Xenopus tropicalis: one gene and its partner. The protein of the gene in region 2 purifies or fractionates together with the protein of the main gene of each other region. This does not show direct contact. Links are inferred from orthologs where the notes say so. Each region holds a gene or a part of one and is shown on either strand. Other genes may lie near its edges. The genes, in order: plekhg5 and rnd3.

Region 1 (4,274 bases), on a different chromosome or scaffold from region 2:
TGCTGGATTTCATTTGTCATTTGATCTTTGCTGGAACCATAATCAAACTGATTAGCCCATTTGATAAATTTAGCATTTCTCATATTCCCCCAAAGTTTTATCCCCATATGTAACAAACAGGCTTGCTGTGCAGTAACCTAAGCAACCAATAAGATGCATGCTTTTGAACAGTGTTTGCTACCTGCTGATTGGTTACTATTGGTAACTGCACACCAGTGCCACCTGCTGTTCATTACAGCTGACTGTCTACAGTCAAAAAAGTGCATCTGAGAAAGGAAATGTGGTGTTGCTTTGCTTGGATCTGACCAGAGAATTATCATGATTCATGACACACTACTCTTCTAACTTCATTTTCATAGCAGGTGGCACTGTTGTTAAAATTCATTTGGAAAACTAAAGAAAAAATGTAATCTGTGCCATTATTTATTTTGAGGGTTTGCATTACAGGTATTTGTAGGGAAGCTGGTTAACTGAAGCTGGTTAACTGGGGTCAATTTATCACTTCACTCCTTGTGGGTTCAGTTCAGGCTTGGGCTAGCAATCTGTGGATTCTGGCAAATGAGGGGCTGCTGTAAGGTGCCATGGACAGTCACTATTTAGTAGGGATGCACTGAATCCACTATTTTGGGATGAATCCTGAATCCTTTGTGAAAGATTTGGCCAAATACCGAACCAAATCCAAGTCCTAATTTGCATATGCAAATGTAGCCACGGAGGGGTAAAGGGAATTGCGAAAAATTTTCAACTTCTTTATGTGACAAAAAGTCACGTCATTTTTAGGGTTCAGATTTGGTTTGGCCAGGCACATGGATTTGGCAGAATCCGAATTCTGCTGACAAAGGCCAAATCTTGATCAAATCCCGGCTGTAGTAACACAGCTACAACTTGCCACTTTAAAAAAACAATGTACCAGCTGAAAATATACATTTTGGACATATCTACAACAGCAAGGAACATTTAATGTAATCCATATGTTGTATAACGAATATGATATATATGTCTAAATTAGATGAAACATCCATTGCACACACTAAAAAGTAGGCCATTGGTCTTTGGAGGTCCTGAAAGTCCAAGACATTTTTCATACAGCATATCAAAACTCTGCATTGGTTGAGCTATAACAAGGGAACTGAATGAATAAATTAGCCTATTATGATTTGTTTCTTTCTCATTTCTTATTTTGGTCCCCAACGATATGTAAATACATTAATTTCCTTGTATTTATATAGTGCTGATATATTTCCACAGCACTTTACAGAGATTGAACATTATTTACATCAGTTAGTGGAGCTTACAGGCTAGTGTCCCTATCACATTCACACACAGAAGGGCCAATTTTATCAAGAGCCAATTAACCTGTATGTTTCTGGAGTGTGGGAGGAAACTAGAGGAAGAGAAGAGGCACCTGCCTAGGGCGCAATGATGGGGGGTGCCAGGCAGGTACCTCCCTTGTCTACCCCCTAGCCCTCCCGCATCCTTGTCATTGCCCCACTGCGGCGGGGGCAATGACTCCAACCCCCCCCCACTTGTCAGCATCGAACATGCAAACACCCCGGAAAAGGTGCAGGGGTGGGGTGGCCGACCAAGTTGCCTAGGGCACCCGGTCAGCTTGGCCCGCCCCTGCCCAGAGGAGACTCATGGAGAACATACAAATTCCTATATTTATATAATTTATATTTTGAGCTTGAACTTCTGGGTTTTGAATGTAAGTCAAATGATTAATATGTGTTTGTTTTCTTTAAAAAATATCTGATTGGTTGCTTTGTGTATGACTTTACCAAGTTTTGTAAAATGTTGGTACAATTTAAATAAAAGACAATAAAAGATAATTTAAATGGTTGCCGACCTGGAATGCAGCATACACAACACCGTCTGGAAATTAAAAATACAGAATGTGGATTGTATAGGTGTTTGGGACCTAGGGTTTTCTGGATAAAGGATCTTTTCAGAACACATACCTTAAGTCTGCTAAAAAAAACATTTAAACATTAAACCCAATTGACTTGCTTTGTCAATATGCATTCAGCTTAGGCACTGTTTTATTATTATAGAGAAAGAAAGGAAATCATTATAAATAATTAGAATTATTTGCCTAAAATGGACTGGTTTCCGTGGCAGGGACCTCCATCCTCTTGTGTCTTTGACTCCTAACTTATTGCAACTGTATCTTGTATTTATTTGTATTTATTGTTATACTTTGTATTAATCTATGATTATCTTAATAACCCCCTGTTTGTATTAATGCATTCTACTGTACAGCGCTGCGTACATAAGTAGCGCTTTATAAATAAAGATATACATATATACAATATATATGATGGAGAAGTTATCATTTTAAGACATAAAAAAGAATCTATGTGCCACATTATTTGCATATATTCTGACATAAAATAAATTGCTATCAGTGTTATAGTTGATGTTTTCCCCTTTTCTAAGCAACCGGAAAATTAAAATGAGCCCATCATATAAAGCAATAAGATCCTGCTGTCTGACATGCACTGCTGCCAGTCTTGATTAAATGTAACAGATTCCTTTCTACTAAATACAAAGATTTTGATAAGGAGAATTATAGCATAGACCCCCCCCCCCCCCATAACAAACATTGCTAGAGCCACAAAGATACCATTTTTCTATTTTTAAGCAGATTCTTCCAAATATTTCTCAACTCACCCATTGATTTAGAGGATCTTGTGTATAAGCAGCCCTTGTGCTGTTCTTCTGTCTGAATGTGAAATCCCAGACAAGCTGTGAATAACACACCGGCAGAGAGGAAATAATGTCTCAGATGATTTCCAGCCTAAAGACTGATCAGCTCCTGACGAAATGTGTTTATCCCTCTCTGTGTCTGACTAAAATGGAGCTAAGAAACCAAGATCTTGTGCCCGTCCTTTGCCACACAGTCAGTACAGCAATAGTATATAGAGAATGGGTTTTTAATCAACTGACTGTGGGTGTCCAGATTTTTCAGTTGTGATTGTAAAAAAAAGAACCCATTTTTCAAACCAGAAATCATAGAACAAAACAGTTTATAACCCTTAACGAAAAGCAAACGCAACAAGTAGTGCCGTTTAAATAGCAATAAATTGAATTTTGTTATACAAGAGGCAACCCAGTGGGTACAAGGGATAGAAATACGACATCATGCAGCGTATAAGTCATTGAGATTGCTGTATGCTTGGGATTGCTAATGTATGCTATCCTGTTTATATAAACCCCTGGAATCAGAGATAACTCATGTAGTATGGCAGCATTGTGAAAAAGTTATTTATGCTAACCTAGAAAAACAGATATATATTATAGACTTGTACATTTGTTTAGATATATACCCAAATCATATTACAGCTAAATCATACTGTTAATGCATATCTTTACTAACTGCATGCAATCCATTTCCATCTGACATGTCCAAAACAAGTCCCCATTGCCCCATGGTCCACTGTGTGCTATTGCAGAACTGCTACTATCTGCAGGTCCACTACTAGGGATACTGGGAATAGTCCTTCAACAATAGGTGTAGGAGATGCAGAGTAACCCACCAGACATGATTGTCAGTCTTGTCCTTGCATCACCCCTTCAGCTGCCATTAGAAGTGCCAGTACCCAGGAGCAAGAATTCATTTCTGTGCAACATTCCCTCTAATTCTTTTGTATGCACTTCCACAAAATCCACTTAGTCAAACTCATAACCACCCAAAGATATTAGAAAGACTGTCATGACATATTGCTTAATATGGATAGATTCGTAAAATTTACTACTAAAAATAAAAACAACATGAATTGAATTTGCAGAAAATAAAAAGGCTTCCAATAAAGACATTTTATATTGCTTGTTAATGATTATATGATTATTATATTAAGCCTGCTGCACCTAGAGTCAGGTAGAGGTTGTGGGTAGGATTTTTAGATGTGGGTATAGATGTGGATTGGTGGGTCTGCAGGTCGTTATGTGGAGCTTATCATGGTCGGATTGGGCCAGTGGGCCACCAAGAAAAAACCTGGCAGGGCAGATCAGTTCAGGTTGTGGGTCAGGTAAAAATGCGGGTTGGGGGTCCGAGTCCGGTCCGGGTTTAAAAAATTGGTTCTACCCTAAACTTCCCAGTCTAAAAAAGCACATTACCTGAAGGCTGCAGAAGGTTTCAGCATTGTATAGATCATATTGTTTGCATTGCTAAAAAATGCTTCCTAGTGGTAGACATAGCATGCAAGTAGGAGCAAAAGGAGCAAAAGCTGAGTCTCGCAACTGGTATATAAGGATTGAATATGTGAGACAACAGC
Region 2 (4,275 bases):
TTGGGGCATGGGATGGCACGTACCCGTCGCTCTGCATGAATAATGAATGTATCATATGTGAATGTTCCACACTAAGCGCGATTATTAGCCAGCCCAGCGCCTCCATCCTCATCCATTACTCACACACCAGCATATGGCACCGCGAGCGGAGGCTTCTCATTCCCTAGGAGGCTCATTCACATCAAACACAGTAATTATTCCCCATTTCTAGATTCCAACGCGGCAATGGCCTTGTGCTCCAGGCCGTGGGGGGGGGGGGGGGGTGGGGGGGGGGGGGGGTGGAGTGAAGAGACTGCACCGTTCCCCTTTCTGGGAAAAAGCTAGAACTGTTGGAAAGTGTGGAACATAAGGCAGGGGAAAGAACGGGATATTGTGTAAAATAAGGCAAGAGGGAGTAAGAGGTTGCAGCTGCAGGATACTGTGCTTAGCCAATGACACTTAGGGGATACAGGGATGAAGATGTAGAGATGTAGTTCAATCGCTGTGATTTTGTAAAAGGACTCCCCTCTCCACCTAGAAGAGTTCTGGCCACAGAACATTGATTAAATAGAACTACAAATGCTAGAACTTACTGTCTGAGACTGCCCAGCGCCTAACCCCTTGCCAGCGCCTAACCCTAGCTGGCCCCTAACACCCTAGCCGGTGCCTAAACCTAGCTGGCCCCTAACCCCCTAGCCGGTGCCTAACCCATTACCCAGTGCCTAACCCTAGCTGGCCCCTAACCCCCTAGCCAGTGCCTAACCCTAGCTGGCCCCTAACCCCCAAGCAGATGCCTAACCCCTTAGCCAGCGCCTAACCCTAGCTGGCCCCTAACCCCCTAGCCGGTGCCTAACCCCTTAGCCAGCGCCTTACCCTAGCTGGATCCTAACACCCTAGCCAGTGCCTAACCCTAGCTGGCCCCTAACTCCATAGCCGGCGCCTAACTCTCTAGCCGGGCATAACCCTAGCATAACTGTTATTCCACTATAAATTATGAATTCATTCCGATTACTATGTAACTGCAGATTAACGCCGACCCAACATAACAGACTGGCACAAACGCCAATTACACAGACTCAGGCAGGACCACATGACCCAGGCCACACTGATGACAGAGACTTGCCATTAGGACTTTACACACAAGGGAATAGTTACAATGTATCCAACAAAAACATAAATGAAACAGATGCAAGTGCCAGTCCATCACTCCCAGGCAACTCCCAGGCACCCTGCAGCAGAATGTTTATTTAAAGGGATATCGCAGCTTAAACTTACCAGACGTATCCCAGAGACTCAGCTCTATCCTCTGCGTGTCGATTTCAAAACTGGCCGTGTAATTCTCAAATACGGTGGGGACGTAATTCTGAAGGGGAAGAAAGGAAAATGCATTTGATTAGCCCAGATCATTCCAGGGGCAGCAACACACACACTATTCCCAGGGCTTTGTCCTTCCTGCTTGGGATGGGGGGTAGATTGATTGACAGGTGGGTGGGCACCAGTATTGTGGGGTCTTTATCCATCCTACTGGCTATTGTATGAAACCTGTGTGTGGGACGCAGAATCACTGCTAGTTTAGGAGAGAGGGCCGAGGAGCTCCAGTTGCCCCTTACTGTACAACCAAAGGCCTGGGTAGGGACGGTGAGAGTTGTAGTTTAGCTACAGATACAATGTAGCAGATTCCTGGAATACTGGGATTTCCCAAACTTGTCTAGAGGTGTAGGCTGATGGGAGACAGCGGAATATACTGATGTACAACAGGATTTCATGGCAACATTAACCCAAACAGCGGTCTAGAACCCCAGATACAGGGGTAGAACAGTAAATCAGAACACATTGCATTAAAATCAGCCCCCCCCCCCCCCCACAAATACTGCGACTTAATCCAGATTCAAACTGATTTGCTTTTCACATGCAACACAACAGAAAGGGATTCCCTGTCCCACAGAGCTTGCACTCTCCCTCTGCACAACAGGCACATACAGAATTAATAGAGCCCAGAAGAATACGCCAGCAGATGGTTTTAGGGGGTTCATTTATGACCCTTTTAATGACTGCCCACCCTACAGTAAATCCACAGGAGGGCCATCAAAGCGAGGGGCAGTTGTGTGTTGGGGGGGGGGGGGGGTAGGTTACAGACGAACAGGGTCCCTTAAACAAGCCAGGATCAATCCAAAGGCTGAGACGTTGCAATACCATCTTCAACCAGCAAATGGCGCTCAACAGCTGCTATACTTAGTAGGCCAGTTTTTGTAGGCTGTTTCCATGGCTGGTAAAAAAAAAAAAGAAGATAACTGTACAAAAAGGATCAGCCTATGGCCCTCCAGCTGTTATTCCAACCCAGTTACTAATATGGAGGTCCCAGGGAGGCTGAAAAGGAAAAAAAAAGATATATTTCTTATCTGCAGCCACTTAAACATGAACAGCTGGAGGGCCACAGGCCGGACATCCTTGCTGAATAGCCCAATACAAAAGCTGGAGGGCCACATGATACTGAGAGTTGCAGTTGCCCATAGCCTTAAAGGGCAAGTGTGCTGGGTAAGGGGAAAGTTACACTGCCCCAATATGAAATGGAATGAAGATTCCCCCTCCATGCAAATCCTATGTGGGCCCCTGAGGGACCTACCTCAGGGAAGGAGTCCTTGGCAAAGACATGGAGCAGGGCAGTTTTGCCACACTGGCTGTCCCCCACCACCACAATTTTACATTTCACATTCTGGTTGGGATCCATCATTGATTTGCTGGCCAGTTTCTGACTCGTTCTTCTTTCCTTCATTGATGTTTATGGGGAAACTTTCCTTCCTGATGAGCAGAGAGTCGGGGCTGCGGCGAGACCCCCCCGGAGCAGCTTGATCCACCAGCGGCAGCGGGGAACCCTCCTACATCCAACGGCGGAGATGACTGAGCTTTGTTACTCTACTACTGACAGGTTTTATAGCGGGCCCCGCCCCCTGTCCCTATTCTTCTGTAACCGGAGACTCCGCCACGCCCACCCTTTCTCCTTGTATGGAACATGCGGCGAGAGGACGGAGGGGAATCAAACTATTGGGCTGTGCGGAGAGTGCGCCATCTAGGGGACTGTGCCGGAAGTGCCGCAGTTTGGCAATGACAAAGCAAGGGGGGCAGCTCAGGCAGATGGCTTTGTTTTCCTAAAATACTGATTTGGGTTTTTTTTCGTTGGGCCTCATAGGAAAGTGGGTAAATTTAAGGAATCGCGGCCAGTGACCATAAATGTGTTGCTGCACTACATATATCAGAACCAAGGATGCTGTGAGTTGTAGTAAAACTGAGACTGAAGGGCATATTCCCGTTATAAATGCTATAAACATCTCTTTTGCTGTTCTGAAACAATTTGCAATTGGTCTTCTCTTTTTTTTTTTACTTACTGTGTTGCCTCTTTCTAACCTAAAATGTACAAAATACTGTGGCTGAAGGGTAACAGCTACACCCAGCCCTGCCCATTGTAACTCAGCAGCAGGGGGCGCTAATGTGTGTATTGGCTTTAGCGCATCCCTTAGCTTCATTCACTGTAGCCTGGGATGCCTACCTGCTGCCCTCCAGCACTCACATCTGTAATGTACTGCAATGTTTTCAATGGTACAATGGAGAGATGGTGCCTATAGTAATAATAATAATAATAGTCTCTGGGAAGGGACTGGGGCTGGGGGATAGCAGGTATAGTAGGGAGAGATGGTGCCTATAGTAGCAGTGGGGGGATAATAGCCTCTGGGAAGGGACTGGGGCTGTGGGATAGCAGCTATAGTAGGGAGAGATGGTGCCTATAGTAGCAGTGGGGGGATAATAGCCTCTGGGAAGGGACTGGGGCTGTGGGATAGCAGGTATAGTAGGGAGAGATGGTGCCTATAGTAGCAGTGGGGGGATAATAGCCTCTGGGAAGGGACTGGGGCTGTGGGATAGCAGGTATAGTAGGGAGAGATGGTGCCTATAGTAGCAGTGGGATAATAGCCTCTGGGAAGGGACTGTGGCTGTGGGATAGCAGGTATAGTAGGGAGAGATGGTGCCTATAGTAGCAGTGGGATAATAGCCTCTGGGAAGGGACTGTGGCTGGGGGATAGCAGGTATAGTAGGGAGAGATGGTGCCTATAGTAGCAGTGGGGGGATAATAGCCTCTGGGAAGGGACTGGGGCTGTGGGATAGCAGCTATAGTAGGGAGAGATGGTGCCTATAGTAGCAGTGGGATAATAGCCTCTGGGAAGGGACTGTGGCTGTGGGATAGCAGCTATAGTAGGGAGAGATGGTGCCTATAGTAGCAGTGGGATAATAGCCTCTGGGAAGGGA

Evidence for each region.
Region 1: the proteins of rnd3 (region 2) and plekhg5 purify together in Homo sapiens (affinity purification with western blotting; 3 studies listed by BioGRID and IntAct, with this or other methods). This does not show direct contact. The link is inferred for Xenopus tropicalis from reciprocal best matches to the Homo sapiens genes RND3 and PLEKHG5.

What each region holds. Positions count from the first base shown.
Region 1 is NC_030683.2:99,439,401-99,443,674, forward strand, and holds the start of plekhg5 (pleckstrin homology domain-containing family G member 5), read right to left. Parts: upstream 2,833-4,274; 5' UTR 2,675-2,832; coding exon 2,671-2,674; intron 1-2,670. UniProt on the Homo sapiens protein: Functions as a guanine exchange factor (GEF) for RAB26 and thus regulates autophagy of synaptic vesicles in axon terminal of motoneurons. Involved in the control of neuronal cell differentiation.
Region 2 is NC_030685.2:76,553,914-76,558,188, reverse strand, and holds the start of rnd3 (rho-related GTP-binding protein RhoE), read right to left. Parts: upstream 2,861-4,275; 5' UTR 2,753-2,860; coding exon 2,603-2,752; intron 1,343-2,602; coding exon 1,255-1,342; intron 1-1,254. UniProt on the Homo sapiens protein: Binds GTP but lacks intrinsic GTPase activity and is resistant to Rho-specific GTPase-activating proteins.